Rhinolophus ferrumequinum: one gene and its partner. The main gene of each other region encodes a partner of the protein of the gene in region 2 in a complex. Links are inferred from orthologs where the notes say so. Each region holds a gene or a part of one and is shown on either strand. Other genes may lie near its edges.

Evidence for each region.
Region 1: the proteins of SCML2 (region 2) and histone H2A.J are in contact, whole or in part, in a crystal structure (PDB 4EDU), measured with the Homo sapiens proteins. The link is inferred for Rhinolophus ferrumequinum from reciprocal best matches to the Homo sapiens genes SCML2 and H2AJ. Residues at the interface, in NP_006080.1 of Homo sapiens: Asp182, Asn185, Tyr187, Leu188, Cys190, Phe206, Trp209, Phe213, Pro239, Pro240, Gly241; in NP_808760.1 of Homo sapiens: Leu35, Arg36, Lys37, Gly38.

What each region holds. Positions count from the first base shown.
Region 1 is NC_046293.1:29,040,951-29,046,048, reverse strand, and holds histone H2A.J, read right to left. Parts: upstream 1,221-5,098; 5' UTR 1,067-1,220; coding exon 677-1,066; 3' UTR 514-676; downstream 1-513. UniProt on the Homo sapiens protein: Core component of nucleosome. Nucleosomes wrap and compact DNA into chromatin, limiting DNA accessibility to the cellular machineries which require DNA as a template.
Region 2 is NC_046284.1:112,684,333-112,692,073, reverse strand, and holds the start of SCML2 (sex comb on midleg-like protein 2), read right to left. Parts: upstream 3,018-7,741; 5' UTR 2,935-3,017; intron 1,869-2,934; 5' UTR 1,841-1,868; coding exon 1,805-1,840; intron 1-1,804. UniProt on the Homo sapiens protein: Putative Polycomb group (PcG) protein. PcG proteins act by forming multiprotein complexes, which are required to maintain the transcriptionally repressive state of homeotic genes throughout development.

The DNA of each region.
Region 1 (5,098 bases), on a different chromosome or scaffold from region 2:
TGTGAACATAAGTGTGTATATAAAAACATCTGATATCCAAAACATGAAAACACAATAGCTATTAGGCTAAGAAAAATTTAAGTTGACACAGTGTCATCAGAGCCACTCTTCCAAGACAGAAAGTTACTCGACCTTTTGAAAAGTACGTCCGGAGAGACAACTTCCTGCCCGAGACCAGCTCGATCCCACTGTCTCTTTCCTAGAACTGGTTCCTGAACCCCTTAGACAGGGCAGGAGAGCTAAGGCCGTGGGAACAGGCCGTAAAAATAATTCTCCCGCCGCATCCGCACCTTTTACTGCCTCTTCTTTACCTAAAGGCGAGCAGGGAACGCTCCCAAACTCCGCCCACCTCCAGGCCAGTGGGTCCCTCATGGTTTCCCTCATCGGCGCATAACTCCTCGAGGGTGACCTGCGGCCCAAAGCCGCCCAGAAAGTAGCTCAAGCCGACCCACCAGTACCTGCTCTAGAGGTCTCCGACAGACCCCCGCGACTACACAGCTCTCTCGACCACACGATTTTCACCGACTTTATTGGCCCCCGACCCCGGTGGCTCCCTCGCAGCCCACCTCCCCACTAGATCGCGCCGGCTCTCCAAGACATCTAGCATAATCAAAAACACTTCGGAGTGGCTATGAAAAGAGCCTTTGCTTGGGAAGCCAGCTCCCCGGTGGCGGCGTCACTTGCTCTTTGCCTTCTGACTCTCCGTCTTTTTGGGCAGCAGCACGGCCTGGATGTTGGGCAGGACGCCGCCCTGAGCGATGGTCACTTTTCCCAGCAGCTTGTTTAGCTCCTCGTCGTTGCGGATGGCGAGCTGCAGGTGGCGAGGGATTATCCTGGTCTTCTTGTTGTCACGCGCTGCGTTGCCAGCCAACTCCAGGATCTCCGCGGTCAGGTACTCCAACACCGCCGCCAGGTACACCGGCGCCCCAGCGCCTACTCGCTCCGCGTAGTTACCTTTGCGCAACAGTCTGTGCACTCGGCCCACCGGGAACTGCAGGCCTGCGCGGGAGGACCGGGACTTGGCCTTTGCTCGCACTTTGCCGCCCTGCTTTCCCCGACCAGACATGTTCACCTCTCGCCGAAAACTCTAGCGAGAGAAAAAGAACTCAGCGATTCGGACTCAGGTATAGTATAGGAACGCAACGCACCACACCGGAACTGCCTCTACCAACTTGGCTGCCACTTTGCAGCGCCTTCCCATTGGACGCCGCAACATCCTCTGTCTGAGTAACCAATGATAGGCAGCCTCTACTCCCAATTAGAGCGCTGGCAGAGGGACCGCCTTCTCCAGCTCTCTCCAATCAAAAAGCAAACTGCTACTTTCATTTGCATATCTGCCGGTACCAGTTCTCTGCGTTTGGAACTCCTTTGAGTTTATTGGATCCTGAGGTTTCAACGTCCACGCCCGGTCCCAGGAAAATAAAGTTTTAAGAATGAAGGAACCGTGGTTAGAAACAGAAAGATCCGGAAGAAGAGCTACTCCGTCTTCTCCGTAAATACGAATTGCTCAAGGAAGCAATGTCCCTTGAGGTCATGGAGGAGGATTTCTTCACGTCATACAGCATCCTAGCCAGGTAGTTACCTAACTCCAGAGCCCAAGCCTGTGGGCAACACTGCTCCTCAAACGAAATCACAAACTCACACCGAATTCTGCCTGCCCAGAACAGAGTACATTGCCTGTTATTTTTAGCAAGTGCCTTGCCTCCTGCAAACCTCGAGGCTCCTGCTGATTACCCAACTGTGAAGAGCTGGCTACAACTGAGCCTTCTCCAATGGAGCTGGCGATCTGAACTTTACCTAGACCAGATGACGTTGGACACCGCCCACAGCTCTGCGGCTCACAAGGCTGCCAATCTTGACTCCTAAGGAACGAGAAACTACAGTGCTAGACTAGACGTGAATGCTTTCTTCACAGAGGGCAGGAATAAGCTCACTTAGCCAAAACTTAACATCTTTTGTCTTTGAGGTTATGAGCCTGAAAATAGGCTCTGGATTCCAGAAGAGCCGGCAGGCTGAGTTCAGTTGCTGAGGCCGTCTTAGCCTTGCCTTTTAGCCTAGTTGGTCACTGGGCATCTAGGATCACGTTCTCCACGAAGACTATGAGAGTCTCCTTGTAGACGATCCCAGAGGTGGATAAGGTTTGTAAGACATTCCGGTGGCGCTCAGAGGTCATGAAAAGACTAAAAGAAGAAAGAACGTCAGCAATTTTCCTTGCAGAGCCACAGCATTTGGAACAAAATTAATTTTATTGAAGTAGAAATTTCTACTAACTCAGCGAGATAATTTAATTTACCTCAACATTTTCTATAATTATAAAATTACATGGCTACGTGATATAATGTTAAATACTTATTAAAATAAACAATACTTTATATGGATTATAGTTTCCACTTAAATGTAAAACAAATTGATCCTCTCGCCATTCTAATGATTTAATTTTACTAAAGTAATGTTTTCAACCATTTATATATATATGTCCTTACTCCTTAGCATTATGATTAACCTATCTATACTCTGGACTCAATAAATGTCTTTGGATCTGAGAAGCAGTATATTATCATGATTAAGGTGGTCATCCCAGATCCAGACTGCTGGGTCCAAATCCTGGCTCTATCATTTACCAGCTGACCTTGGATAAGTTATCTAACCCCTGTACCTATCCCAAAGTGTTATGAAGATGAAATGTATTAGTAAGCATCCAATAACTGTTAGATAAACTGAATAAATGGACATACAAATCTCTGATGCAGTTTTTAATAAGATGTTCCTGGAAAGTGTTCTGTAAATTTAGCTTAAATTTTTCCCTATATCATGGAAAATTTTAACAGATTATTATTGGCACTGTTTTTCTTTTTATTCTTGTAAGCAAGAGAGATTTCTAACTTGAAAGTGTTCAAATCTTGATTTCTTATAGTAAATATAAATATAAATAAACCAACCTATTTTACCATTATAAGAATCCTGACTCTTCAAGATTTGATAGACTTTTTTTCTTTCACTGAGTCAAGAATTAAAATCATATAGTACTATCTGACTATTGTTGCATCCAGCGCAACACCTGCAGTGAGGGTGCGAGAAGGGGCGGCTTTGGGTTAAGTTTTTAAGAAAGAAACAGAGACTTAATGTAGTTAAATCTCTCCGAAGACGAGGGGGCCTCACAGTCTCAGAGGACTGGAGCCCCGAATTGGACCGACTGGAGGCTTTTATTGATACTCATACAAGTCACATTGTTTCTTACACGGTCTGTGAGATTCATACATCATAGCAGAAAAATGTTTATTCCAATCACCCTTTGTCTGTAAACAGCCAAAGCACCAGGTTCCATGATGTCTTAATTACGGTATGTACCCTCTCAGGGACAAGTCTCTCATATTGTAACAGTTCTGTTGAGATAAGTGGACAGAACTGATCTTTTTTGTCCTCACGACTTCTCTCACAAACAGGTGCGAGAGAAAAGCCAGAGCCAGCAGTGGCTTTTCCAAGGCAGGGGGAAGGGGAGGCAAGGCCCCTTCCCATATTTTTCTAAGGCATTACATCGGGGGTCTCCACTCGGTTCCGCCTGACTTGGGTTGTATCTCCCGTGAGATATCTTACCCGTCTTTGGCTGTAAACCATCTTTTGGAGACCAGATAGAGAGACATAGGTATAAACACAAGGATGGAGCAGAGTCCCCAGAAAGGCACAGTCTCACAGACTCTCCTTAAGGAAAACCTCGGGGGGACAACAGTTGGATAGGCTGCTGTGTGACTACAGACTATTCAGGATTTTGTTTTTCAGCCATCTGGTGTTCCAAGGGCTTTTTAAATTCATCTTTAACAACAACAACAAAAAAGTACTTTTTGTGTTACGGCGATGGGTAAATTATAAGCATTTAGATATATAATAAATATTTACCATAAAGCTTTCATGCTAGAAAGGTAGGGACAGGGAGCACAATTTACTCAAGATGTTAAGTACTTAGGAAAGAGTTTTAAATCATCCTCTAAATACTGCCTTTTTTCACAGTGAAACCTTTTGGGACGATGAGTTCTGTCTTCTAGAGCCGTGACACTACCGAGTTTCATCTTTGTTCAGGGATTCTCAAGAAAATGATAGAGAACCTCCTAATTGGGGATTTGTAGTATAAACCGCTGTTTAAAGCCACAATCATGGCATCCATTATTTTATAAGAACTTTGAATTTTTAAGTGGAAGTCAAAACCACAGATTTCAGTGAAATAAGAAATTTACAGTATTTCAACTAAATAACCATAGAAATAGATATTTGATGGAAAAGCATATAGGCACTTGGGGTGAGAGGGAACAGAGGAGTCAGGAAAATCTGCCAACCATGCAGATGAAGCTGCAAGAGAAAAGTCTGGAGAGGGCGAGAGGGGAAATTTAGACCTTTTGAAAGAATTTTAATTCTCCACTGGGCCACAAAAGAGAACCATTAAAAAATTTCCTCTTTCCCCACTAGTGACTTAAAAAGATACACAGGTGAAAAGCTGTAAAGCAATTGCTTTGAAAGCTAACAAGATGTAAAGCATTGCTAGTTACTATTGATTTTCACATTAGCCTGGGAATGGTTATCATAAGAGTAAGTATTCCATTTGAAAAATAGAATTAGAATTCGAGCGCACCTGACTTAGAGTCAAGGGCGATCGGGGCGGTGGGGGATAGAGAGAAGGAAGGAGGGAGAGAAACCAAGCGCGCAAAGGATCTGGCCTACTTTGTTTTAAGCGTTGAGAAATGGCAATATAAATTCTATTGAGTCTTTCCTCAATTTTATGGCAAAAATAAGAAAAAGTTTTCCCCAAAATGCAAACAAACAAAAAAATCGGTCTAGTTCTGCTTACTGCTTACTGGACTCACTGTGGTAGGGAGGGGGTTAAAGTCGCCTAGAGCCTAGAGCTCTGCCCACTTTCTGGATGTTTTAGAACCTGTTGGCCACAAGAACTACAAGCCCTGGTCTAATCCCACGGAACTGCTGCTAGCTGTTTGCTATTTTGTTCAGGTGAGACACTGCTACAACAATGTATGGTCCAGGTAAAGGCGGCAAAGGGCTGGGTAAGGAAGCCACCAAGCCTGACCGTAAGGTCTTACTGGAAAACATCCAG
Region 2 (7,741 bases):
TTTTCAAGGCACTTTACTATCTATCATCAATTATTTCTCCTTGAGGCAGCGCGGGATTACCCTGACCATTTCAATGATGCGGAAACAGACACCAACAGCAAAGTGAACAGGGGCAGGAAGAGGGGTGATAGGAAGCATCTGGGAGGAACAGGCAGGCAAGGAACAAACCCAAAAGAAAATGAGTCACATCTGGCTTATAGCTGACCATCATAACCCTTAGTTATTTTTGAGCTCAGAGAAATTTCTCAAACATTTTGAACAAAGAAAGTGCTCTAATTTATCAGTGAGTTAATATCTAGTTAACAGCCTTCACTACTTGGTCATAGAAGCAAAGATTTTTAGCATTAAAAATAACCAGTCTCCAGAGCACATTTTGATTTCAACTTATACCAACCATTCATTTTCCCCCAATGTTATCTGTTCAACCCAGAAAATAATCTCTCATAAAAACGTATAGCTTTATACCGTGTTTCCCCGAAAATAAGACCTAGCCGGACCATCAGCTCCAATGCGTCTTTTAGAGCAAAAATTAATAGTAAATTTAATATTTTACTTAATTACAGTAAAATTAAGAACTTATTTCACTGTAATTATAGTAAAATAAGACTAGGTCTTATATCGTATTATGTAAGACCCAGTCTTATATTAATTTTTGCTCCAAAAGACGCATTGGAGCTGATGGTCCGGCCAGGTCTTATTCCGGGGAAATATAGTATAATCCTAACAAAAGAGGCACAAAGTTAATATCAAGTCAAAATATTCAGTTATACCCAGAATTTTGTTTAGAGAATTATGAGCAAAATCCCTGAATTCGCCCTTGAAATAAAACGACTTGTTCTACGTTCATACTGATTTTCTTAGCTATAACCTTGAACTTTTCAGGAATAAACTACTGACAGGAAGCCTTAAGCACCCAGAAACCAGCACACATAGAAGAAGCCTCTGAATAAATGTACATTGAACTGAACTCCATACTGCAGACAGCACAGGCACTTAATAAAGATGTGTTGGTTGAAGCATAAATCAAAAGGACGGACCAACTGCTTCATGAGAAAAACTGATAGCATCTCTTTAAGACTAACTCCTTCCATCACCATGTATTTGATCCCTCGGAGTGAAGAAGAACTGACTCTGGGTGGTGAACACACAACGTGATATACAGATGATGTACTACAGAATTGTATACCTGAAACCTATGTAACTTTACTAACGATTGCCACCCCAATAAACTTTTAAAAAATAAAAATAAATTAAAACGGTAAAAAAAAACTGACTCCAATGTTTTTTGTACACATTATATCATTAGCTTTAAGGCATCTTCACAGATAATGTAGTTCAGTCACATTAATCTTTTTTTCCAAATTATCAATTTCAAAACAAATCTTATTCTCTGGAGAACAGGTATACACCTTTAAGAAACTTGTATGGTTGTGTGATATATATGAAATTTATTTAAAAAGTTCAAAGCCATTTTAAATGGTGTTTAAGTTTTTGAAAACATTCTAACAGACTGTTTTGAAGACTATGGATAAAGCTACAGCCATTATTAGGTGAGTACTCATAAACTCATTTCTTTCTCAAAATCCCAATTGGACTCATTTCCAAAAGCTTATTTTCACATTCCTCCCATTAAATATGCAAAACCACAGAAGAAAAGAACATTCATCCCTGGAAATAGTATTTAATGAGTAATTAAGGAAAAGAAAGGCAAAATTGTTATTACTGAAGAACATTCCCAAGCAGTTATTGATAAATACTATCTCCAATAATTTTGTAAATCTTATGATCATAATGAAATACTCACTTTCCTTACCTCCGTTTCCCCCACTAACCGATCCATCACTTTCTACAGATGTCCCAAAGTCACCCTACAAGTAAATCATAAATGCTAATCTTTTAATTCTTCAAAATAGACGCCGATTTCAAACTGTAATCACACTTTGTAATGCATGACAAATGTTTTACAACCTTTCTTACCTTTTAAAAAAACTCAATAGTTTTAAATGGGAACTTGTAACTAAATACTTGTGCTGCCCCAACATTTTTGGAGAGACCAATTACAGTTCAGCCCTAAAGCTACGTAGATTCACACTAGGATGCAGCACAACCACTGTCCAGGTGAAAAAAGCGAGAACGCTGTCTCTAAAGGAAGGCAGCAATGGTCCCTAGCCCCTCATGCCGCGAAAGCACGCGGCTGCTTCTCAGGAGAGTAGGAACCCCGCTCTCCGTCCCCCCCGCCCCCCACCCCGCCACCAGCACCAGAGCGGGCCGTGCCCTACCGCCCCGCTACTCCCCTAGCACAAGCTAATGGGGCTCCCCTTTGCCCCCACTCCCGCCCCTCCCCCCCACTCCCGCTCCCTTACCCCGTTACCCCGTTACCCGCCCCCTGCCAACCGCCTAGAGCCCGCGGCTCCGAGTCCGACGGGCACCTAGCACCAGTACCCGAGCCACAGCGGCATCCTTCAGAGCTGAAGTTTCCCTCCCAAACTCCAAAAGTTAGTTCACAAGTCCCTGGACAGGCAACCGGGCGAGTTTCAGCCCAAACCACGCACTGTAAGCCCCGCCACCCACCCGCGCCGCCCCGGGGCCCCGGCCCGACCCCACACACCGCGGGAGGATGCTCGGGAGGGTGCTGTCCGCGCTTCAGGTCAAGGGGCGACTAGGAGAGGGCGGCCCCGCGGCGACAGAAGCTGAGGGCACTACGTGGGGTAGGGGAGCTCTGGCCTCCGAGGGTGAGGCCACTGAGGGTGGGCGACAGGGGTGCAGCGCCAAGCTAAGGCCGGACACCGCGGGACAGTAAGGGGGCGTTCCTCGCGCGGGACGCGCCGCGAAAGGTTCCCGGCCACCCGCCCGCCCGCCCGCGGACAACGGCCAGAGCCCACACGCCACCGCTCGGCCTCTCTGGTCCTCACGGGGCCCGGAGTCTCCACACACCTCGGGGATCGTTGGCGAAAGTGGCGAAAATACAGTCACACTGGCCACTCTGTCCCGCGAGCCAGCACCGGTCTTCACACCGCCGCCGCCATGTTCGAGAAGCCGCGCACTGAGCCGCGCATGCCCCGCAACCGCCACTGGCGCCCCGCCCCCACCCCCGGCGGCCCGCGTGCCCTGCGGTTGCCGCGAGCACGCCCTTTGACCGCGGCCGCGTGCAGCGCCCGAGCTGGCCGCCCAGCCGGAAACCCGCGCGCGCAGTAACGGTCGATCAGACCTAGTGAGCCCCGAAAAGCCATTGGCAGTTTTCCCTTATCCTCTTCTCACTATCTGCCCTCCCGCCCAAAAAAAAAAAAAAAGCCAGTCGCAGCCCCTACGTCCAAGACAGAAGTGAGCCCCCACTGTGCCCTCGGAGTGTGCGTTAAGTTCCATCCCGGGAATTCAACCCCCTTGGCCATTGCCTTCGACTCTCGGCCACCACCCATCCTAGCCACGCGCCGAAAAGGCAGGCGCTTCTCTAGAAACTCAAGCAAGTTTGATAAGAAGACAAAAACAGCTCCTTAGAGCAGTTTGAGCAAAGCCACTCCTTCGAGGGTTGCAGCATATACCTTAAAACAGCTTCCCCCCCCCCCAAAGGGTTTTTGCCACGCATTCTCCAACTCCACATTCTCACTTTAGTTGTTCCTCTTAAGCTAACGGAAACTAGATTCACCCAAGGAGAAAATAATGTGCTTACTGGCTGCAAGGTGCTGGAGAGCATCCTCGAGAGTGGGTTTCAGAGACTCCTCTCCTCGATCACGCCACTCCTCTTCTCGATCTCGCTCGTCCCGGTCTGAGCTGTTGCATAAATGAAGGTCTCATTTAAAAGAAGCGGGCGACGTAAAAATAGCCGTAAAACAACCCACGTATCTCTCCGCACAAAACTTAGCTAATGGAAAACCAGGGAAAATCATCCCATCCCTCACTGTGAGGTTGAGTATTAGCAGATTTGAAACTTATTGTTTGAAATACAAAAGTAAACCGTTGGTCGGCGTTCTCTCTCCAACTCTCAAAAGCTGGATATAGGCATTCGTTATTGCCTTAGTTTAGTATACAGGTCATGATGTGTTCTTTAAATCATAATTTCGGAAATCAGAGCATAAAACTTAAAAAAAAACATGGAATATATCTATTTAATACAATGCGTAATGAAATTATTTTCATATGCAACTTTTGCAATATTATGCAAGATCCAAATTAAAGTGGTTTTTATTGTATCTAAACATTGGCATTTGGTACAATATCAAATTGCTCAGATTGTTCTTGAATTCTTTTAAAATGAATGAAAAAAGTGTTAATGCAAAATTCAAGAAAACTAAGTTGAAAATAGAAAAATTAGGCCATTAATATACAAATATTAAAGAGAGATTTGATCGTTCAAGTATATAATATATATCACATAGGAGAGAATGTTGAAATGTTCTAAGATGAAGGTTCAAAAATGTTTTTAAAACCCAGAAAACTATCTTTAACAGAAAGGAGTTAAACAGGTTCAAGCTAAGCAAACCCTTAGTATGGGTTACAGCAGGGCTGGGGGGAAGGGCGACTTAAATTATTAATTGCTGGCCACTGTAATCCTGAAGCAATGGAAATATTTGAAATTCATCTCTACATTCGATATATGAAAGATTTAGGTTTTTTCATTTATGCTTCTTTTACAAGTATGGACCTTTTATTAAGTTGTAAAAATAATACTGCTCTGATTGTTAAATTGCATCTCACGTATGGCTCATCTACTTCCTATATTTCTGTTTTTAACATGAAATTACTGAAGCCCTTACTCTAAAAGTGTAATTCACATTATATATATTACATCTTAATGACTATGTTCACCAAAGCATTTATAGAAGTGTGACTCTGTTATATATTAATTGTTATTGATAATGATAACAGCTACCCTCTATTGAGCACCTACAGTGTGCTGAGAATCATGCTAACCTCTTTAGATACATAATTTTCAATATTCATAATGTTCTTTCCCAAAGTTCATATGAGGTAGGTACCCTTATTCCCATTTTACAGATGAGCAAATTGAATATTGCATAGCAAATAAGTGGTAGAATCAGCTTCTGAACATATACTCGAACCTTTCTGAATTATCCCTCCCCCTTTGTCATCAATCGTATGCTTTCATCAGACTATTAACATTCAATAATAATTATTTTATTTACTTATACCCTTCTTTTCCTTTTCCCCTTTGCCAAAATAAACTTAAGACCACTTCTCTCTTTTTTTTTTTAACAGGACTTTATTGGGGAACAGTGTGTATTTCCAGGACTTTTTTACCAGGGAACAGTAGTGTTTTACCAGGACTCATCAGCTCCATCCAAGTCAAGTTGTGGTCCTTTCGATCTTAGTTGTGGAGGGCGCAGCTCAGCTTCAGGTCCAGTCGCCGTTGTTAGTTGCAGGGGGCGCAGCCCACCATCCCTTGGAGGGAGTCGAGGAGTCGAACCGGCAACCTTGTGGTTGAGAGGACGCGCTCCAACCAACTGAGCCATCCAGGAGCTCAGAGGCAGCTCAGCTCAAGGTGTCGTGTTCAAACTTAGTTGCAAAGGGTGCTGCCCACCATCCCATGCGGGACTCGAGGAATTGAACTGGCAACCTTGTGGTTGAGAGCCCGCACTCTAACCAACTGAGCCACCTGTCCGCCCCAACACCACTTCTTAATGATGTTAACATAGGTCGGGACATCACTGTTTCTTTTACATTATATGGAAGCACCTTGCACACAGTAGGAATTTGGTAAATATTTGTTGAATGAGTGAATGGGTGACTGAATATCTCCTATTATGACATTTAATTAATTTTGCCTAGAAAACCTGAAAATAAGATTATTTGAACTGAAAGAATAAGAACCAATGAAGGTAAAATCTAAGGTTTCATGATTATTTTTCCAGCCTCAGATTTGATTCTGTTGATCTGCTCCTACACTTCTCCTGACTCAGCCCAAAACCTGTGATAATCTTAAAGAAGATCCATCATCCACACCGAGCCCAAATCCAATGCAAAATACTCCCGTATCTCAAGTGTGTTTGATTACTTCTTTTTGTGCCTTCTTTAGAGTTTCATATTAGTCCATCAGAATGAAAAAATGATTTTCTTTCCTAGATAAGCAAATTTAATCTAGATTCCCATCAGCACACATGTTTATATTGAAACGATATTATTTGCACAGGTAAAGTTACCATCTTAGAATGATTATCCCTTTAGTTGTCCCACTTCATGCTCTCCTTTCTCCCGAAAACACAGATGCCTAACCAAGCCTCACAAGAGACTAGAGATCCAAGGTGTTCCTGGTAAACTTTTCATCTTAATGAAAATATCCATATAGTAGGTATTACATAACTGATAAATTAATTAAAGTAGTACCTGAATTTACAAACATCTTCAGATCTTGGTTCCGACAGATTGCCCCATAAATCAAGAGCACATATCAGTAAGATAGTCGTAATTTTTTTTTTTAGTATTGTTAGTGTTGGCTACAATAAACCTCTTTTCCTAACTGCAAAATGGTAACTTCCTTGAAAAAATATCAAGAGGTGAAGTCCGTGATATGAAAAAAGAGACGTTAGTCTAACAGAAAACTATGCCTTGTCAAAAAGATCACGGCTGCATGAGGAGGTCTGAGCTCTTGTCTTGAATCCCGAGTCTATCATCCACTAACTAGGTTTCTTTATGATCTTTCCATGCCTCAGCTTTTTTTCATTTTAAAAATAGGGATAAAATCTGCCACACTTACTTCACAGATGCAAAAATGCTACTCAAATCTATCCGAAGACCGCATGGCCTTTGCTTAATGGATCCTCACACTTCTTTAAAAAATATAAATGAGTCTTCTACCAACAAAATGTGTGAGATCTAAGCTGACTTTGGCCAAGGGAAGTATTTTACATGCTGTGAAAACTGGCATAACCTAATGAACATTATATACTACACACTTGGCCATTATTACATTCACTCAGTTCTTCAAACACCAAATATTTATTGAATGCTTGTTGTATACAGCTTTGCTAGAGGTGGGGATATTGAGATGAATAAGATAAATTGAACACTCCAGGAATTTACACCCATTCCCAAGTGAGGTGAGGGGGGAAGATTTTCAAAAGAACTAGGATCACTTATCACCCCCTTCATCATAGCAAACATTTAATACTGTATAACTAGATGAATGGAAATGCAGCAGACCAGTCCACATAATCTCCTTCGGATATTTATATAAAAATATTTATTAGTTTTGACTTCACACTTTTTGTGCTGGTTATTCTCCATTTGCACCATCCCCCAACCCCACGCATTTTCCCACTTCTTCCCCTTCCTCTGCCCTGGGGGACTTACCTTCAGTAGTACATCACTCTGGCTCTTTTGTCAGCTGGTTTGGCCAATGGTAGGTACCATCAGGAGTGACTGAAGCCAAGTTGGGGAGGAGGTTGGGGATGGGGAGAGGGAGAGAGACAGAGACAGAGACAGATAGATATAGAGAGATTTCTTCCGCACTCCCTTCCTTCCTGCCTAGGACCTCAGCCTGGCAGTGGCAGTGGCTCCACAATGACAGCTCCTGGCAGAGGCTCTCCTCTCAGGGGTTGGTTCTCACTGGGTCTTCAGGAAGGGGGAGGAGCAGGTACAGCTTCCAGTTTCCAGCTTCCCGTTTTTCCTAATCCCTGGGCAACGTCAGCATCTGTTGTTAGTTCCCATAAACCTACCCCACACCTCTGTCAATAATTCACTCAATTCTCTTCAAAATCACATATGACTGTACCTTCTGTTCCTGCTG